Linked DNA regions of Ovis aries. The protein of the gene in region 1 purifies or fractionates together with the protein of each later gene. This does not show direct contact. Links are inferred from orthologs where the notes say so. Each region holds a gene or a part of one and is shown on either strand. Other genes may lie near its edges.

What was found.
Region 2: the proteins of DUSP4 (region 1) and MAPK1 purify together in Homo sapiens (affinity purification with mass spectrometry; 6 studies listed by BioGRID and IntAct, with this or other methods). This does not show direct contact. The link is inferred for Ovis aries from reciprocal best matches to the Homo sapiens genes DUSP4 and MAPK1.
Region 3: the proteins of DUSP4 (region 1) and MAPK14 purify together in Homo sapiens (affinity purification with mass spectrometry; 3 studies listed by BioGRID and IntAct, with this or other methods). This does not show direct contact. The link is inferred for Ovis aries from reciprocal best matches to the Homo sapiens genes DUSP4 and MAPK14.
Region 4: the proteins of DUSP4 (region 1) and MAPK8 purify together in Homo sapiens (affinity purification with western blotting; 3 studies listed by BioGRID and IntAct, with this or other methods). This does not show direct contact. The link is inferred for Ovis aries from reciprocal best matches to the Homo sapiens genes DUSP4 and MAPK8.

What each region holds. Positions count from the first base shown.
Region 1 is NC_056079.1:24,824,706-24,829,773, forward strand, and holds part of DUSP4 (dual specificity protein phosphatase 4), read right to left. Parts: intron 3,680-5,068; coding exon 3,534-3,679; intron 2,563-3,533; coding exon 2,343-2,562; intron 1,706-2,342; coding exon 1,320-1,705; 3' UTR 1-1,319. UniProt on the Homo sapiens protein: Regulates mitogenic signal transduction by dephosphorylating both Thr and Tyr residues on MAP kinases ERK1 and ERK2.
Region 2 is NC_056070.1:72,076,855-72,081,922, reverse strand, and holds part of MAPK1 (mitogen-activated protein kinase 1), read right to left. Parts: intron 1,440-5,068; coding exon 1,323-1,439; intron 1-1,322. UniProt on the Homo sapiens protein: Serine/threonine kinase which acts as an essential component of the MAP kinase signal transduction pathway. MAPK1/ERK2 and MAPK3/ERK1 are the 2 MAPKs which play an important role in the MAPK/ERK cascade.
Region 3 is NC_056073.1:10,092,493-10,098,313, reverse strand, and holds the start of MAPK14 (mitogen-activated protein kinase 14), read right to left. Parts: upstream 3,500-5,821; 5' UTR 3,498-3,499; coding exon 3,382-3,497; intron 1-3,381. UniProt on the Homo sapiens protein: Serine/threonine kinase which acts as an essential component of the MAP kinase signal transduction pathway.
Region 4 is NC_056078.1:41,778,253-41,783,320, reverse strand, and holds part of MAPK8 (mitogen-activated protein kinase 8), read right to left. Parts: intron 2,751-5,068; coding exon 2,679-2,750; intron 2,336-2,678; coding exon of another isoform or gene 2,264-2,335; intron 952-2,263; coding exon 769-951; intron 467-768; coding exon 342-466; intron 1-341. UniProt on the Homo sapiens protein: Serine/threonine-protein kinase involved in various processes such as cell proliferation, differentiation, migration, transformation and programmed cell death.

The DNA.
Region 1 (5,068 bases):
CTTCTTTTTATTCACCTATTCACTTTACAGATATCCACCTACAGGAATCTTTTAAGATCACAAGAATTTGTTGGCATACTTCATTCCAAGCAAACCCCCTAAAATTAAAATCTCTGATTTAGGCAAAAGAGGAAAAAAAAATATTGGCGCTTCCACTTTCCCTTTCAGGTCTATCTCTTCTTAGCTGGGTTCCCCAAGGGCCTTGGCAAATGCTTCGCTGCAGGAAAATCCGATCTGCACCCAGTTTTTTTTAGGAGCACCTTACACGATATGGTATTTATCAAGTCCTCGGGCAGGTCTAAGAGAAAAAAGCTTCCACCGCCAAACTGAGTTACTGATCATCCGAAACGGTTGTATGGTTGCGGTTTCAAATTGCTTCGGTGGTCCATATGCCCAAGAACCAACTTCAAAAATAGTCTCCAGTCCATATTCAAGAATGCGCTATCTGCGGATGTACGCACCCACAGGTTCTGGTATCCGAGATGGAAGGAGGGGGTGCTGGAACCAATCTCCCACGGATACCCAGGGTCAATGCTAACAACGTCCTCGCTTCCCTTTCTCCTCCTCCCACCCTGCCCCCTTCCCAGCAGTAGCAAATGCAAGCTGATCGTCACGCCATCTCGAACACACCACCTCACTGTACTGACGTCTGCATGCTGCCTGTGCTCCGCAGGTCCACACCAGCATCAATATATTCTAAAGTCACGGTCCCCAGACTGTGTCCTCACACACTCTGAGGAAATTCTCAATAAATACTTTTATTTATTATTAAGCTTAAGTATTCACCTGTTGATGGTGACTTAAAAAGGAAAACCATGTCCTAAAAGATTTCTTCAAAAAAAAAAATAATAATTCCTGTAACTACAACAAGAAAAGGACCAAGCACACAGAAGCAGGCACTTCTGGTCAACTTGTTTTTGGCCCTTTGCCTCCCCTCCACCACCACCACCCCCCTTAATAAAGGGGCACATTTGCCAGGATCTGTGGGTTTCCTAACTTCAAGCCTTACTGCTTTAAAAAAAAAAAAAAATGAGGTAAGAAATTCCTATCTGAAAAGTAAAACTGACACAAACCAAGACCCAGGTCTTCCCTGCCTGCCGAGGAAGCTGTTATTGCTCTAAGTTGGAGTGTTTTGTTTGTCTGCGTTTAAATATGTATTTGAGGTCCTTATTGCCATTCTAGCTGGCCCCAGCCAAAGAGAGATGGATGGAAGGAGCTTGGTCACCAGGCCCCCTGCGGGTCAGTCCGGACCTGCTACCCGGCCACCGGGCCCCACCTGACACGGGCTGGTGTGGGGGTGGGGGGGCGTTCTGAGGGTTCTAACAGCTGGGGGAGGTGGTGATGGGGCTGTGCAGGTAGGGCAGGCTGCTGGGGGCCGGGTGCACCCCCACGGAGACCGGGAAGCTGAAGACAAACTGTGACGTGGGCGTGGGGGTGGCCTTGCCCCGCTCGCGCAGGGGCCCCGACGGGCTGGCGGCCTCCACCGCGCAGGACGTGGCCAGCACCTGCGACTCGAACTGCAGCAGCTGGCCCATGAAGCTGAAGTTGGGCGAGATGATGCTCCGCCGCTGCTTGACAAACTCGAAGGCCTCCTCCAGCCGCACACGCTTCTTCATCATCAGGTAGGCCAGGCAGATGGTGGCCGAGCGGGAGATGCCAGCTTGGCAGTGCACCAGCACGCGCCCGCGGCAGTCCTTGACCGCATCTGGGGCAGAGAGCCACGCGCCCGTTAGTGTCCCCAAGTCCCTGTCCTTCCCTGGGCGGGATGAGGGCGCTGTGGGGAGGATCTGAGAAGCATTGGTCGGGGCCCTCCCTCTGAACCACGGAAGGGACAGCCTTCCAAGGCTGAGGCCAGGAGAGAGGAAACCCACCGGGCCAGGGAGTGCCATCGGTTCTGGGCTATTTTGGAGACTTAACCAGACAAATGTGCCGGGCTTAGGAAACACACATGCTAAAGCCCGGTGCCAGCACACACGGAGGGGTTTTCATTTGCAGGAGCAAAAACAATGACCCAGTTCTCTCTGTGTCTTCCTCTCCACCCCTAAGTCTTATCTGCTTGGCAGGTGGGACACCCAAGGCAAAAGTTCTTGGCTCTATCAGCTACCAGTGCCTGTGGTTTATATAAGTCCATCTTCCTACCCCTGGGCAATTCAATACCCCAAGGGCCAGCCTTCCTACTGAGAAAGAGGGAAAACAGGCATCCTCTGGGCAGGGCCCTTTCTAAGTTCCTCCTTCAACACTCTAGCTCCAAGTGGTTCCTTCTTCCCTCGCTTCCTGTCTCTGCCAGCCTTGCACCCAGCGCCCCATCCCTGAACCCAGCACCCCGGCCAGGGCCAGCCTACCGATGTACTCAATGGCCTCCATGAACCAGGAGCTGATGTCAGCCTTGTGATTGTCTTCCACTGGGATACACTTGTACTGATAGTGTCCTTCGAAGTGGTTCGGGCAGTCAGAGGAGACGTTCAGCAAGGCTGTGATGCCCAGGGCATCCAGCATGTCCCTGCGGGCCGCATGATAGGCACTGCCGAGGTAGAGGAAGGGCAGGATCTCCACCGGACCCCCCTGCAGAAGGGGAGAACAAAGGGGCCCCCCCAAACATCATAAGTATAAAACAGCAGGGCAGAGGGCTGGGGCGGTAGGACGGGGAGAGGGAGCCAGTCTGGGGTGGGGGTGCTGCTGTCAAGGGCTGTGGGAAGATGGCCTGTGGACACAGCCCCTCCAGGTCTCCCCATGTCCTGCTGGGGCTCCAGGAGGGAGTGATGCGCTCAGTGGGACCTCTCTGGCCTTGATGCTCTACTCTGCCTTGATGCTGGGCTCCCCTCTCTGGTTCAAGCAGCCCACCTCCCCTCCGCCCCCGGTGACCAGTGAGGCAGAAGACGCAATGCGGGCCTTGTTCATCGTTTGTGATGTGAGGAGCTTACACCTGCTACCACTAAGCTACTTGCTGCAGATCAAAAACAGACGCCACAGCAACCTCAAAGATAAGAGGGGGGATCCTGGCAAAAGGAGGTTATGTTGGCTTTGCTAATGACACGATTCTGAGGCAGATCAACACAAGTGATGTGGGGTTTGTGGAGCAGAGTTGCGGGACCCCATCATTTTACTCCATCTCTGTCTAAAGGAGAGGGCTGGAAGGGGCGTGCTTGTAAGAATCATAGTGGCATGAGCTGGTTTTCTTAGAAGGGTTGGTTGTCCACTGATGTTCACTTAGCATTTATGATTAGCTTGTATGGGGGGCGGACAGCTCTGCCTGTTGTAAGCCAGGGCTGGGGTCTCAGCTTCCCACAGAACAGCCCACACACTTCTGGGCTCCTTGCTTCTCTGCACATAACTCTGGGAGCGAAGTCAGGGACTTATGTCTTTACATTCTTTTTTTAAGTAAGGGTAATGAGAGAAGGAAGGGGAAGAATTTCAAAGGAATGATGGATTCCACCTAAGGTCGCATCCCAACACTCAGGGTTCATCAATTCACCCAGCATTGAGGCCCTGAGTCCTGAGCCTCTGACAAGCAGAAGTCTGATCTCAGCCCGCACCTGGTCGTGCAGTGGGGTTCCACAGGAGCTGCAGCTCAGATCCAAAGACTCTGCCGTGCTTGGGGGCACAGCAGGTGGGATGGCTGCCAGAGCCTTGGTCTTGGAACAGAATTCTGGGTACTCAGAGGAGAACCTTTCATAGCCACCTGTAAAGGAGAAAGATGCTCAGGTTAATGGGGTCATTGAACAAGCAGGAAACCAAACCAGGGGAGAACTTGAACCCTACGCTTCACAGAGGAGAGCTGTTGGGAAGCTAGGGCTGGTTGCACCTATACTGGCCACTGGGTGGCGCTGTGGGCCCAGAGATAATGGCTAAGGAGCCCTTCTTCCAGAGATGGGGAGACTGCCTTGGGGATGAACGCATCCTGAAGCTGGAAGAAAAGCTTTAGGCACAAGACTTCGGTTTAGAATGCAGATACACAAAGGAGGATGTGCAGGGGGAGATGAAGAAGGAATGCTTTCTTTACAGTGATGACAAAGAAAAAGGGAAGAGCCACTAGGGGTTTCCATGAGGCCACAATTGAGTCCTGGGACCCACAAAGATGTCTGTCATCCCCCACCTCCAGCTCTTCTTTTAGAGAGGTTCTCCAGTGTGGGAGAGAATAAAAAAACTATTATCCTGGCACCAGCCCTTCTGGACCTCAGCAACAGAACAGATGCCAACCACACAGCCTCATGAACAGCTGTTCCATCAACAAGGGGCCAAAACAAGAGGAAACGGGCTTAGATCTAAACAAATCCCTCTTGCCTCATCCAGGTTTGGGGCACGGGAGGATTTCCTGACCTGAGAGTTGCTAAGCCCTGGAATGGTTCTCTACGGAATCATCTTCCGGGGAAGGGAGGTCGTTTAAGTAAAAGGAGACCAATAGCCAACTTCTGTGGAGTAGCGTTAGTGGCACTCAGGCAAGGGCGGCTGCGCAGGGGTGGGCAGAGACGCAGGTGGAGGCGGGCAGGGAAACACACCAAGAAGAGACAGTCGGCCTGTGTTTCTGATTTTCTTGTGCACTCTGGGACTTTGCTTTTTGGGAAACCTACCATCTATTATTGTCAAGGTTTGGCCCTGCTTGTTTTTTTGTTTTGTTTTTTAATTTTTTGTTGTTGTTGCAGGGTTTTGTTCTGATGTGGACCATTTCTGGAGTCTTGATTGGATGTGTTTGGGGGGCTTCCCAGGTGGCACAGTGGTAAAGAACCTGTCTGCAGTGCAGGAGACACACACAGGTTCAATCCCTGGGTCAGGAAGATCCCCTGCAGGAGAGCATGGCAACTCACTCCAGTATTCTTGCCTGGAGAGTCCCACGGATAGAGGAGCCTGGCCAGCTACAGTCCACGGCGTCACAAAGAGTTGAACACAACTGAGCATACGTGCACTGCCTCTGTTCTGTGTTTTGGTTTCTCGGCCCTGAGGCACGTGGGATCTCAGCTCCCCAATCGGGGAATCACACCTGCGCCGCCTGCACTGGAAGGTGACGTCTCAACCCCTGGACCAAGAGAGAAGTCCACCTGCTTGTATTTTTATTTTGCAGTTTCTATTGGAC
Region 2 (5,068 bases), on another chromosome or scaffold:
CACAGGGCTTCCCCCGACCCAACCTCCCATGGGTGCAGGAGAAGAGGACGCCAGACGCACTGCTGGGAGGGGCCTCTCGGGCTGGAGGAGCCACGACTAAGAGGGCCCAAACCCAGTTTCTGTGACAATCACCGCGCAAGAGCGGAGGCCACCCTCCTGGGGGGGCCCTGGAGACGGCGAGGGGCCCCACCGCGCCTGCGGGCGCCCCGGCACGGAGCGACTCTCACGTGGACATCCACAGGAGCCTGCCCTGCGGTGCTGTCTGCCGCCTGGAATTATCAGAGAATCAACACAGCGTTTTCTTCTGCGAGACATGTGTTATGCCGAATTCTTCTTTACGATGGAATTTACTGATGGAATTTTACTTCTACAGCTGACTAACCCCACGTATGACACCAAGAGTAACTACCTGCTTTAAACAAATCCATTTCCTCCCCAAAGCAACCTAATGCGAGGCCCTAGTCCTTCACGTGTCAAGGCTGGAGGGATAGAAGCCGGCCCATGGGCCATGCACTTCACTCACTACCCCCGAGCCTCTAGGGACGACTTCTGGCTCCGACACCTGAACGCAGCCCAGCGACCACTCTCCAGCTGTCCTCACACACGTCACGTCACGGCAGACGGGACGGAGCTCTGGACTCGAGGCCTTGCGACGCAAGACTCAGGATGAGAGAGAGGTTTCAGGCGCGCCGGCCGCAGGCCAGACACCGCCTGCGCGGGCCGTGCTGAGACTTGCGAGGCCCCGAGGCCGCCCCCGCTGCCGCCGCCACGCGCCCGGCCCCTCGCGGCTCTGCCCGCCCCACAGGCTCTCTGGTGGCCTCCTGCGAGTGAAGGCCCTGCTGGCAGTGCGCTTTCCCCCTGGGGGCGGGACCGCCACGCCATGGGGTGTCATGCAGGCCACGCCACTCTGAGAGAGTCACAGCAGCTCCCGTTTTCCCCTCACCAATGTTTTCTTCCAATTTTATTGCAATTTGCTGAAGAGGCTTCTTCATTACCAGGTAGGTCTGACTCTTACAGGAGAGCCCTGGTCCGCGCTCACAGACGACAGTGCGAGCACAGAGCCCAGCGGACAGGAGGAAGCCACCCGGGTCGAGGAGGGCTGCCTGGGGGGCGGGACGCAGGCAGCTGATGGCGGGAGCACGCCCCGCAGCTCTGTAAGCCAGCACGAGCCCAGCCGAGGGCCGGGACGTCAGTGCTGAAGGGAGACGAGACGGTACCTTGGGGCTGGCCAGACAGGCCCAGCCTCAGCCCACGCTGACTGCCACTCACGCCCTAAGTCCTCTGGTCTCCCGGATTTCTTCTGATGCAAACCTGGCCCTTACCTTGGAGTTCAGCATGATCTCTGGAGCCCGGTACCAGCGCGTGGCCACGTACTCGGTCAGGAACCCTGTGTGGTCGTGGTCCGGATCTGCAACACGGGCCAGGCCAAAGTCACAGATCTAGGGGAAAGCAGACAGGACAGCTTCTGAGAGAGTCAGGGTCGCCAGCAGCAGAGCCGCAGACACTGGCGGGACACCAGCAGTGACGGCGGCAGCAAGTGCCACCATCCTCGGGCGGCAGAGCCGCAAGGCAACGGCACACACCCACCCTTACCTGCTCCTCACGACAACGGGAAGGCAGCCACCTCGTGTCAGGAAGGAACAGGTTGGAGGGTCTTGCCCAGAACACAATTTCAGCGGTATGCAGCCTCTACTTATCTGCTTACCCACAGCAAACCTGCTTAGGCCACTTGATAAACAGTTCTGCACGGAGAATAAGGTCACTCAAACCAGCGCCCAGTGAGCGCTGGAACGGTCACCACTGGGACCAGCTTCTCTGGCAGGGCCTCTCTCCACACGTGACCTCCCCCGCCTATTCTGCCCACCTCCTTCCCCTCCTGTAGTCAAACCCACTCCCAAAGCCGTACAAGACGCTCCACATACTGAAGACGGATCCTTACCAAAAAAAATCCAGCTTCTAATTTCTCCTGACTCACGCAAGCTGGCCTTGACCACGCAACGGTCGGGGCTGCTCCAGATTACAACGTGCAAGGAGAGTAACCGGAACCTATTTGGTCCCCAACAACTGCAGGACCTTTTAATTCCTAGCTCCTGGGGAACTAATCCGAGAGACAGAGAGAAAGAAAGAGGGAGAGAGATGCTAACACAGACGAATCCAGCAGAAGGCAGCCTGGAAGACAGAGATCACTTTGGAGGCTGACTGCTTTAATTCGGTTGAAAAGTGACAAGGGTGAGCTCAGTCCATAAAAACAGAGATACGGAGGCAGGGATATTCAGAAGACTTAACGGACACCAGCCTCTGCAGAGACCCCACAGCTGGAGGTCGAGACAACTTAAAATGACTCTGAAGGCTCCGCCCCCCTCCTCAGGGCTCGCGGCTGTGGAGGCTGGCACCCGCCGCGGCACCTCTGACCCCCGGCCCTGCCGCTTCCTCGATGCAGCCCTCTGAAGTTCTGCGTCCACGCTGCCCAGTTCCGTCCTCTGAGCCCGTCAGCGCGTCTTCAGGAGGAGCCAACGCCACGCCCGCTCCGCGGCTCTTCCAGGGCCGTGCTCTGGGCACTCTGGACAGGGCTGCACAGTCGCTGCGGTATCTTGAGGCCCCTTGGCCTCCAGCACCAGCCTCGCCTCCACAGCCAGACGGCTTGCTGAGGCCACCACACCCGGGACAGCTGCAGGCTGACGGACTGTCTGCGTGTCTGCAACGCGCCCGCGCCACACACCACCCCTTGGGCACCCTCGGCTCACACGGCGTGGCCGGGTCCAGACATGAGTCACAGCTCTCTGTGGTCAGCGGAACCCCCGGTGAAAAGCCTGCATACAGGCCCCCAGATCAGCGGGCTCAGTCCTGGGGCTGACATCTCCACCTCCTCCAGGAGCAGAACAGAAGCAGGAGCCGCACTCGGGAGGCGGACAGGACCTCCCGCCTCTACAGAGACGGCCCACGTGGTGAGAGCAAGCTAAAGACAGCCGCGGCAGAGGGCTCCGCAGAAGAAAGCCACGCCAACGTAACCCTGACCCCCATGCTGGCCACAGCTCTGGGGCCGAGCTTGCATCAAGAGGGCAGGATTTATCTTCCCTCCTCTGGAAGCTGGGCAAGCCTTTCTAACTGCCTGAACCAAGAGAACATACTGGAAGTGGTGCCACGTGACTTCCGAGGTGAGATCACAAAAAGCAACGTGGCTTCCACCTGGGGAACTGGGAGCCTCTGGCCGTGTCGTGGGGACACCAGGTCACATGGGCGGCGTGTGGCCATGCCGTGGCACTAACCACCAGGCCTGTGGGCGACGGTCTGAGCCTCCAGGGCGTCTCTCAGCTGCGGTCCAGAGGCTGAGCCCAGAGCAGTCCCCCCCCCCCCGACCCCCCCGCTGCCTGACCAAACTTCTGACCTCAGAAACTAAGCATTCAAACAGACAACTGCTGTTTCAGGCCATGACATCTTGGGGGGCTTGAGAGAGGCTCCAGCCTGGGTGGAGGGGGGAGGTAAACAGGCATCCACGTGGGGAGGCGGCAAGAGCCCCCAAGGGAGCAGGAGTCTTGAGTAGCGGGCCCAGGAACGCACGGCACCAACCAGCTACGTTGCTGGGAGCTGCGAAGCGCTGACTTCTCTAACTTCATCATCCCTTGTGCCTTTATCAGCTGGCATTTACTTTTACCGTTATTCATCAACCGGGGCTTTGTGCCTACCTTGAAGTCCAGACCCTACTGGGAAGACAAGGGAAGCGTTTCCTCCTCCCCTGTGAGTTACCAGTTTCCAGAAGAGGGAGCTGGCTTAAGGAGGACCATGTTTTTCTATTGGTATCCTGCGCTCGTAGTTGATAAAAATTACTGGCTATAATTTAACGAATCAAGAGGTACGCGTAGGGAAACTCTGTTCACGGTCATCCACAGAACTCATGCGACGCTCACTGCAACACTGAAAGCTAATACAGCGCTGACCAAAAAACTGCCAAGGCTACCCAAAACAGTGACTACAGTTCTATGCAGAGGAAGGTAGACACCCAGGATACGGTACGGAAATAGAAAGCGACCTGGTCAAATGTCCTACCCCTCCTACCTGGCGACCTTTGGGCTGAGTAAATTCAGATTCTCCTAGAACAAAAGCCCCAAAGATCTTTCATTTCGTACCTTTTGACCCTCCTTTCTAGGCCCACCCAGAAGCATACACGCTGCGACCCCAGCAGCCGGGGCTCCCCTGGGGCTGCTGGATGGAGGCTCAGCAAGCAAACACCCGGGACAAACACTGCTGGAGATGACATACCCCTGAAGTTTCACTAAGAACACACTGCCAGCACAGTCTCCAGATAGGGTCCACAACCCTCGCTCTTCTGCGGCCCTGAGAAATAGACAGGGTGCCCGCAGGAAGAGGGCCCGGGAAGGCCAGGAGAGGCCAGTGTGTACTGGGTCTCAAGGCTGGGTACCAAGCACGAAGCATGTTATGGAAGCCAAAACCAGAAGCTGACTGCTGTTGGCCTTGACTGTACAGAGTCAAAGCTAAAGGTCTAAGACACTTGACAGAGCTGACACCCTGGTGGCTCAAGAGTGAAAAATACTAACACAGAAGTCAATGGAAACAGGGAGAAGTGACCTAATTACCTGCTTGAAAATTCAAAAAAAAAAAAAAAACACCTAAATAACAAGACATCAGTAAGGCCACCGGTTACAAACTTTCTAGGCCTGGGGCTGTGGGACGGCATCAGGGCCATCCCAAGGTCTGAGGAGGGGACAGGCGTCCGATGAGCTCGGAGCCCGCCCCACTCCCCGGGTCCCTGCCTTGCCTGTGGGACACGCTCCCACGGCAAGCCCGTGACTGGGTGACACGCACGCCACACTGCTAACCGGAGTGAGACTCTGAGTGCACGTGCCCACGGGGATGGTGCATACCCCATACGGACATTTTCCAACGGGGGTCGACTGCACTGCTCTAAGCATCTGAAACATCCTACTGTGTTTCTGAGTCTGTGTTAAACTGGGCTTCGAAAACAAAGCCTGGACGGTGCAGATGGCCGATAACACAGATCAGCATGGGAGCACATCCTGGTGAGCAGGGAGTGAAATTGCCTGAGGCAGAG
Region 3 (5,821 bases), on another chromosome or scaffold:
GAACATAGAAAGCAATCCATAAAATGCAGTTATTATTCACATCACACTATACACCTACCAGGGAATGAACTGTCTTTGTCTTGTTTAACAGTCTAGCTCAAGAAACCTAGCCTGCTATCTGGTCCATGAGTGTGTGAAGTCATTTTAGGCATGTCCGACTCTTTGCAACCCTATGGACTGAGGCCCACCAGGCTCCTCTGTCCATGGGGAGTCTCCAGGCAAGAATACTGGAGTGGTTTACCATTTCTTCCTCCACAGGCTCTTCCCCACCCAGGGATCAAACTTGTGTCTCTTGCACTGGCAGGCGGGTGGGTTCCTTACCACTAGCACCACCTGGGACGCCCCTAAAGATGTGTGCGTGCTAAGCTGCTGGTCCATAGTTGGTGCTCAATAAATATTACTTAATAAGTGATTCAATATGGTTTAAGAATAATTCTGATCTCTTACCTGTTTTATGGTTACCACTGCCGCACCTCCTATAATCAAAGGCAAGAGTCTGGAAAACGCATACACCAGAGGAAGGGCATTTAAGTTCCTGTTTATATTTCCTTAAACTCACCACAAAGATCCTCCCCCGCCCCTTTCGTCCCTAAACCACAAAATCAATGCTTTGCAACACCGTACTCTTGAACAATTTTGCTTCATTTCCCCTCACTGACAGCGCACCAAGTTCCTTAAAGCTGCAAGCTTTAGTTTAGTTCCCTTTACCCCTTAAGAAGGAAAGGTATGTTTGTAAAACTCTAATACTCAAAGTTCTATTTTGATTTCTTGATCTTTCATTCACGATTAGTTATCATACTTGCGTTACTAGATACTTAGTACAAATGAAAACACTGAAAATTGGCTTATTATTTAATTTTTAAAGTTAACACATCAAAGTGTATCACACTTCAGAGCAATCAAATTAGGAAACTGACACATTATTTCAGTGATGTTGCATTCCTTGAAATACTTTCAGAGATTCTTTTTTGGAACAGACTTCAATCCAGTTCTACAAGTCCCACAGGAAATTCTGTGTCATTACTTTACGGTTACAACTCCTATTTGACCTCAAACAGTATCACCAGCCTGGCTGCCTGATCTTTTTCACCAGACTTGAGCCCAAATTCTCTAAATGATTTGGATTCAATCTAACTTCGTTATTTCCTAAAATCAAATCTGCTCTAAAAAAAAAATGAAGAGAGTGAAAAATAACACAGGCTCCAAAGTGGATTCTAAGAGAAGTTTAAAAAACATTTTTTTTTTCTGCCACACCTAAAAGCTGCTGACTGAAAGAACAACTTGAAATAACTACTCTGAATGAGATAACACATGTGAATGTAAATTCTGATATTTTCAATCCAAAATCAACTATACTTGTTTACGGTCAACTGTCACATAATATTGGTTATTTTTCTCCACCAATATGTTATAGGTTACACCTTAAACAACCTTAGCAGAACTGCCTCCACAGAAAGACACACAAGAAACTTAACAGGGGTGGTCTCTTGAGAAAAGAACTAGTCCAGCTGGACAAAGAGAATGGAAACTTTTCACTGTCTTTCTATGCCTTTTACATTTTATACAATGTGAATGTACTACCTACTTTTAAAAACCTGTTTAACAAAATTACTTCCAAGTGTCAGTTTTGATGGCTTCTATAAACCAGAAAAATAAAGCACTAAAAAATGTGGAGTTCATGTTTTATCAGCACTTCACTGGATCTCCAGTGCCAGGGCTGAGTTACTCACATCAACTGTAGGGAAACCTTGCAAGCAGTTCACTAACTCCCCACAGTTGAGCCGTATCACTCCACTAAAGTTTAAACAACAATGATAGGAAACAAAAATTCAGTACCACAAAAATTAATGTGTCAATTCCAGAATGAAAACTGGCCGTAAACAAGTGAGCTATTAAAGCAGCAATGATCCAAACACATCTTCGAAAATTAGCGAATCAACAGCACGCTATAAAAATGGAAAAAAGATGTCAAGCATAGGGCCATCAGCGACATCACTCAAGCAGCCTGAACTAGAAAACGCAATATGATCTGTTGCTGGACACAATTGCACAATCTCAATTACCCAGAAGATTCTACCAAACAGGAAATTCATGCTGGGGCTTTAAGAAACACAGGAATTATATTCAAAGATTACCAAGTCTAAAAGCCTGGAACCTGCCCCGAAACAAAAAACTAATTTTGTAGACCTCTTTGCAAATAATGCATGCACAGGAATTACATGAATTAGCTTCAGGTCAGCTCTCAAATTACACAAAATCTAAAATACAGTGTATAAAACCTTAGAAGTTAGAAAAGTTAGTGAACTGAGTCTGGAAATTTTACAGTAGCGTTTCATTTAAAAGACATTCATAGTGTGAATTAAAGCTGAAAAGTGTCTCTTCCTTCTTTTGCTATATATTCCATATCCCATGAAAACCATTATGTACCTCTCAGGCCTTAAGTGCAGATTAAGTTCTCTGCAAACCCTCTAAAGGACTTTAAAAACACAGTGTTTCACAAGAATTATCACGATTAAAAAATATTTATAATACATCGCAGCATTGTTAAAAACTTTTTGATCTTGAGGGCGTCCAACGGATCTGAACCTCACTTGCTCCAAAGGAGAAAATCGTTTTGTCAAACAATACTTAAATGAGCAGTGGTATGTGACTAATCAGCGAGGCCGCCAGCTTCTCAAGCTGCAGGCACTACCACCACCCCCCACTCTGCGAAAAGGAAATACGCTTTCAACTGAATCGGAAACACACCACTCAAGCTGGCACAGGGCTCACCGAGATAAAGTCGGTATTTTAAGCTCCCTGGATAGCTGCTAATTCAAGTGCGAATTCAAAAAGAACCCTTCTCAAAATGCAATTTCGACAGAGGTTTGCAAAAAAGCCCGAACTCAACGCCCTTCGTCCTCAGTTTTGTTCAGATGACCGCAGTCGAGCTTTGCCCTTCTGCTTCTCCGGGCAGCTTCCCGGGCTTGTCTGCTCCGAGGGCAGGCACATCTCGAGAGAGTCCTTCTGCTCGATGCCAGCAGGGAGAGACCTCCGAAGAGGGACCCCTGTTCCTGCCCCCGTAGCAGCACCGCCCCCCCACCCCCACCCCCACCCCCAAGGGAACGCGCAGGGTGCGAGTCAGGGCCCGGCTCCAACACCATCACCCACCGCCCACAGCGGACCTGCGTCCTACACACAGCTGACCATCTACGTGGGCGTGCAGGGTGGGGGTGCAAGGGGGACAGGGAGTGCAGGACAGGGGTCGAAGAGGGCTGGGATGCCCTCCCCCCAAGGAAAATTCCTGCCGCTGGGTGCATTGCTGAGCCGTGGGGGCAGGCCTGACTCCAGGGCATACGGAGACACCCGGCCCAGCGAGGCCCCCGGCCCGGTGACACTCACCACACAGAGCCATAGGCGCCGGAGCCCACCGGGGACAGGTTCTGGTAACGCTCGGGCACCTCCCAGATGGTCTTGTTCAGCTCCTGCCGGTAGAACGTGGGCCTCTCCTGAGACATCTTCCAGCGGTGGCCGCGGGGCGAGGAGGTGGCCCTTGCAGGGCCCCGCCTGCACCCGCACCCGCTTCCCCTGACCTCGTAGCCCGCCCGGCCGGGCGGGGACCCCTGCGCTGGCCGCCCGCGCAGGTGCGGCTGCGGCGACCCTGAAGAAGCCCGCGCGCGCGCGCGGCCCCTGTCAGCCGCAGCGGCTGGACGCGCCTCACCGACGGCGGGGGAAGCACTGCGAAGGGCCGGGGCACGCTCCGGGGCCCTGGGCTGGCGCCCCGCCCAGCTCTCCCTGCGCTCTCTCCACACCCGGCCGACTCCCGGCTGCGCGGCGGGGTCACAGCTCCAGCTGCAGCGCCCGCGGAGCTTCCAGTGGTCGCCTTTCCCAGAGCCAGCGAACAGGAGCCTCCCGCCGTGCTCTCGCGAGAACAGCTCCCGGACCTCTCCTCGAGCCGAGATTTTACCCAATATGGAACCTGCCCGCGGGAGGGGGGTTGATGAAGGGAGAGCTTGGGAGAAGTAATTCTCGCGAGAAGAGAGCAACAGCTGGCCCCTAGAGGCAGGAACTCCCAGGGATTGCTCTCCTTTAGCGCGCGAAGGCGGACCCGGGAAGGAGCGGAGAAGCAGACGATACAGGCCGCGCGCGCCCCATCGTGGTCGGCGGGGCAAGTGCTTGGCTCCCTGTTGGAAAGAGACAGTGACAAATCAATCGGGTGTCTGGGAAAAGAGCCAAAAGACCTTTAAACGGTGGGTAATCACCAGCAGCTGAGCACCTGCTCGGCGGAAAACCCCCAATTTCCAAGAAGTACTTGCATAAAAAAGAGAAAGATTCCGGCCAGAAAGCCGTTGTAGTCCCATCTGCTCAAGGACATACACTTACTCTTCGGAATGCTGACGAAATCTGTCTCAAAGGTAAATATTAGCCCTGAATTAAGGTTGAGGTTTTTCCACCCAGACACTTCTAGTAGTTCTCAAACTTTTACGTGCAGAAGAAGCACCTTGGGCGCTTAAAAATGAACAGCGAGTTTGATTAGATGGGTCCCAGAGGGACTCCAAGACTGTGCATTTTTACAAAATGCGCCAGGTTCAGAAAAGTTCTTGGTATCTCCCTTGGAGAAACATTTTAAAACCTTTACCCTGAAGGTTTGAAACTGATTCCTACCTTGAAGAGCTTCCAGCAAAGAGGGTTTTAAGAATTGTAATCATGCCTCTCAGAGTAAGAACAGTGCAGATAGTGGTTTTCTGGCAGTATCCTGTTGGGCAAGTCAATTGACCTTTCTTAGACCTTAGTTCCAGTTTATGCAAAAAAGAATTGCTGCCCTGAAATTTCCCACCTGAAAGCTGAACAAGATAATAAATGTGAATGGGCAAGGTATTATAACCCCATACCTTCATGTCACTATTAACTTATTCCTACCCTAAAACTTGTTTCAATAAGCAGAATTGGACCCTATCTTATTCTTGGTCATTTCTTTTAGAACTAACTGGGCTCAAGCCAGGACACTTCCCATCACTATCCATGACTATTCTCTTTTGTGTTATGCATCCCTTGAAGTGCTCAAATTTTGCCTATCTTGTCCCAGCATCTAGCTCAGGGCCTCGAACATAGAAGTTACTCCATAAGTATTTGCTGAGCAAATTATGAACAAGGACATGATCTCAACTAAGGTGGCATTGCAGGATCCTCAGCTGTCAAGGAAAAATAAAATAAAACCCAAAACAAGGGTCGTAGGTGATCTGCGGAAAGCTTTCTTTGGATTCAGTGTGACAGCCTAGATTCTCTTGCCTTAGAAGACATGTTGCTTAAAAATGTTCCAAGCCAAACTGCAGATAGTGAGCTTTCTAAGAAGTATTGGAGGTAGGAGGAAGCAAGAGCAAAAATGCAGCTGTAAAGATATGAGAGGTAAGAGTAGGGGATCAAGGTGAGTGCATGGATAAAAGGGGGAAAACTTGGAAGCTGGAATTCTAAGAAATTCATGTATTTATCCAACAAATTGGGATGATGACATGAGAGTGAGCAAAAGAATAAAGATGAGCAATACACTCACTCACTCAGCAAATATATATTGAATGCCTACTAGGTACCAGGCACTTCTAATGGGAAGTTGGTTGAAAGGCAGATAGCGGCTGCCTACGTGGAGCCTACAGTGAGTAGTGGCACAATCATTCACTTCTTCAACACAGATTTATTGAGCACTTACTAGATCTACCACATTGCTCTGGCACCAATAATACAGCAATTAAAGAAAGACATAAAAATTCCTGCCCTTCTGGGGATGAGACAGATTACAAACGGTATAGGTAGGGACTCCCTGTTGGTCCAGTGGCTCAGACTCCAT
Region 4 (5,068 bases), on another chromosome or scaffold:
TTGCAGCTATTGTATTTTATTTACATCATAGAATTGTGCTATGCTTTGGACACAATAATTTCTTTACAACAAAGTTACGATGTTTTCTCAAAGCGCTCAACATCATAGCTCAACTTACATGGTAATACGGCAAAAAGGCAAGAAACAATGGGAGGGAAGTTTATTTTGTGTAGGAGGTACTTGGATATGTTCATTCTCTAAAGGAATTTTTCATGCAAAAACAGAAAGCACCACCATCATTTATTTATATTTTTATTTAAAATTAAAAAAATATATACGCTAAACCTAACTTCAACTCTAAGAGTACAATATATTCTTCAAACATTCAGAAAAGAACTTACAGCTTCCGCTTCAGAAGGATCATACCAGACATTGATGTACGGGTGCTGGAGAGCTTCATCTACAGAAATCCTTTTAGATGCATCAATTACCAGCATTTTGGATAACAAATCCCTTGCCTGACTGGCTGCAAAAATAATAAGATGTTTATGTAACGTATCTTATAAGGTTTTAAAATTATCAATAAATTTCAGAAATCTGAAATTACCATGTACTAAAAAATGCTTTAAAAAGAATAGATTTACTATAAAATTAGGTCATACATATGATTAAAAATATAACTAAAAATAACTAAAACCTCACACTGTTCCATTACTCAGAAATACTGTTGAGTTACATCCCGTAACAATATAAATACACCCCCATAAACCTCCTCTTCAAACAGCCACCTACCCACAATGGAATTAAAGATATTATTTTTAAAAGTACCTTTAAGTTTGTTGTGTTCCGAGTCAGCTGGGAAAAGTACATCAGGGAAGAGCTTCTCAAAGCTATATCCAGCATACTTAGGTCTGTTTTCAACATAAGTCCTTACTGTTGGTTGTAGTTTCTTCATGAATTCAGGACATGGTGTTCCAAGCTGTTCAATAACTTTATTCCACTGATCAATATCTAGTATCAAGTAGCTAAGAAAAATACTGTGCATCTAATGTTCAACATATTAGTCATATCCATATTAAAATAACAAGAAAATAGCAATTTAAAATTCTAAGAAAGAATGTGGCAGTTATAAATCTTATAGCCACCTTGCAAAAGGCAATGACTGTAGGTGGACAGAAAGAATCAATGACAAGCTTTGTTAACCTTATTTACTAGGTGTATGTGTGTGTCTACTAATACTGATTTTCTCATAAAAATGGAAGCTTAAACTCACAAATTCCAAATACAAATGATGAGTGGCTCAAAGGAAAATGGTAATTCCTGCCCATATAGATTCTACATATAAACTGGACACAATTCTGAACACAGAATTTGCCTTTTCTTCTAGCTTATCAGAAAAGGTGACTGCATTTCTGAGAAGATAAGAAATATTTATCATCTGTCCTTTTCTGAGTTTTCTAAATTAACAGAAAATAAGCAGCAGCAATAAAAATGATGGCATTCCTTTTTGCAATTCTCTGTTTAGCTTATGTTAACTAAAATATTTTAAAGCTCTGAAGTCTGAGAAAATGACTCACTATTTTGGTTAAGGTATAAGGCTAGAATTCCCTGGTTTCTTTCCTCCCAGTCTTTAGTCTTTATACTTCAAGTGCTCCCCATGGATTAAGACCTAAAACTTTCTTACTATAACCCAATGAATACGGTTTCTCCCATTTGTCTTCTTAAAACAATTCTAAGTGTCACTAGCTGATAAACACAATAACAGATCAATGTTACTACAAATATCAGTAGTCAGATGAACAAAAATCATGAACCCAAATCTACTCATCACCATATACAACTGTTACTGCTGAAACTCTCAGATGAAAAGATCAGTATGTTATGTAGAGAAATGAGACAACAACCAAAAGACACAGAACACACAGAACATTAACAAAACAGAAGGTGGGGAGGACAAAACAAAAGGGTGACCAGGAACAACAATTCAAAATTCATATCATGTCCTAAGTACTTCTAGACTTACTCAAGTGTATAATTATTAGAAAAATTTAATGCAAGCCATGATTTTTGATTCAGGTTAAATAAATTAACTCAAAGCCAACAAGTAACTGTGGATAATTAACTTGAGTAGTTTTCAGAATTAACAAATGAGACAATCGGTGAGGGAAAGGAAAGTCTATGTCAAATAGCAGGTGGTATTTTAAAGAGTAATTTAACAATACTTTACTAGGGAGAGACAAAATACATTATACCTGATCAAGCTGAAGTGTTGTCTTACATTTTGACCTTTAGAAACTACATTTTAGGCCAAAGATAAGGATACGATCTGTACCTGGGAACAAAACACCACCTTTGATCATTTCTCCCATGATGCACCCAACTGACCAAATGTCAACTGAAAACAAAATGCAATGACATTAACATAAAGATTTTGGTTAAAATAAAAAAAATATAAACATTAAAAAAAATCACACACACCATGTATACTTCAAAATTAAAGAAAGCAGTACAAAATAAAAATGAGTGACAGTGAGTGTGCTCTACCTGCCAGCAGAGACTGTATGTCCTACTGCCGAATGCAGCCTACAAACATCTCAGAATCTGAACTGTAACAGCCACAAACTTTACGTCTGTTTAAAAGAAACCCACATGTGTGGATGTACATACTCATTTTCATTAGGGAACATAAGGAAGCCCGTCACCTAACTGATCAAACTGCTGCAGCAGCGCAAGGATACAGTCCCTTCCTGGAAAGAGGATTTTGTGGCAAACCATTTCTCCCATAATGCACCCCACAGACCATAAATCCACTATATGTTTGCAGCACAAAAGAAGGAAAAGCAAAGCAAAAGGTCGTTAAAATCAAAGAAGCATAACATGACTGCTTTATATAAAAACTGCAAAACATCACAGAAAGAAAAAAGTGACTTTAATTTTAGCTAATGGAATAATTTAAAACATAAAATATTTTTCAAAAGGCTTTGATTCACAAAAGCAAACGTGAAGTGTAGCCTTTTAGCTACATATCTAATTTAAAGGGAGAGCTATGCACAGAAATCATATGATTTTAAAACCCATAGTCTGCCCCTGAAAGTTTACTTACAAAATATGAAAATGAACCAACACAGATTTACAAATAAGGCTGAAAATGCACATGAGGTACCAAAATTTAAAAAATAAAACCTTGATACTATTTGGAGGTTCAACTGTGCATTATCCTCTCTCTTTAAGTAAAATAAAAGAAAAAAGCATGAGCAGAAACAGTCCAGCATATTAAAATATTTAACAGAAATAACGCTTCTATGAATAATTACAGTTAAAACATTAACCTAACGGTCTTCGGAAATTTTCAAGTTGGAGTTCATCAATCTGTTTTGAGAAGTGCTACGTTTACTCTGAATAGAAAATCATTTGTCTTCTTGGCAACACCATGTTGCATTTACTCTACTATCCCAAGTTCATAGAGAATGAACAAATAATCAAGAAAACACAGCAAAAAAAGTACATTTCATGTTTTCCACCTAAAGTGTTTTAAACTTGTAGAACTAAACCACTTTTGGTTTAAGAAGTTGGTTTCGGCTGAACACAGTATGAAAGCTCCCGCAAATTTATCATCTACAGAGTCTCCTACTAGACTTACTGACCCTTGCCGACTTTATTTATTTTGGCTACACGGGATGACCAAGTGTTGACCCGCGTCCCCTGTGGTAGAAGTAGGAGTCTTAACCACTGGACCACCAGGGAAATCCTGTGACGCTTGTTAATTTTAAATGAGAGTTCCAACCAATGTTGAAAAGAATGCGCCAGACACAGAAATGAGCAATTTGAGGATCTCCACCCATTTCATTAAAACTAACCACATACCCTGACACTTTATATCTTTGGGTTTGAAAACAGATAAAAAGAGAAGGTGCTTACAGTTTAATACAAGAAGGGGAAGAATAAGCAATTTGAAGGGAAGTTTTAGAAACTTGCATTTGTTTTTGCAGTCTGAAGACTTCAACTCTTTTAATAGCAAAAGAATAAAAGGGCAAGAATAGATGTTAGAGATGCACCTTTAACCATGCAGGACAACTTGGGAACTTAAAATCCATACTTTCTAGTACACTCATAAGGAGACTATTAGCTCATTACAGAATTTTAGGAGCTATATTTAGGAGTAAATTTTGGAAATCCTGTGGAACTAAAGTTTCTCTAAAATTTCACATTAGAATACATACAAATCTTTTTGTATCTATGGCATAATTCAACTTCCAAGGATAAAATTTTAGAGGGAAAGTTAATGTTTACCTATCAGTTCAGACAAAATTTTTTTCCAGGGTTTTCATTTCTGGCAAAAATCTATTACAACAATTTTTTCCTTGTGGATTTTATAGAGAATAGCAAGCTTTAGTTAGATATCTAGGACATAATTTATGTACATAATCTTGAGAAAAACATATTTTAAAACATTTCTAAAGCTACAAGCATGAGAGGCTATTGCAAGCACTGTCTGGGCAAATGAAGACTGTCCTCAGAATATGAAAAGCCTGATTCAAACATAAAAAGAGCTCTACAGGTCTAACTGCTCAGGCTATTTGGCAGTTTAAATATATCCCATTATCTCACTTTCCAAAAAGCTTTGAGGGTAGCTTGCAATAAAAGACATATATATAAAACAAGTCATTAAAACAGGTGTAGGATGGGTGAGAGGCGTCACTAAAAGGTGGAAGTTCTTATGCTTAACCTTGCTGGCCGATGTAGTTACCAACATTAAGCACTATATTTGACTCAGTTTCCTGGAGACTGAAGGAACACAATAAAGTGAGTCTATAGAATTCTTATCTAAGAAAGGAAAGTATGTCAACTCTTTGCATGATAGTTTTTCTTGGTGCTAATTTCTACTAGGGAGCGCCTAAGATCACAATTCCAAGACAAAGTGACACACTGCACATTATTTATGACAATCAGTGGTTTTACAGCAAATACTTTAAAAAACAATGATCATGCTGTCACTTAAAATAGCAATTCTCCAAAAAAAAAAAAAAGTATAATACTAAATCTAACTCACTGGATTTTACAGGGTATAAGACAATTTTAGGTCAAGAGTAAGACAACAGAACAGCGTGTTTATTTAAGAACAAAAGAA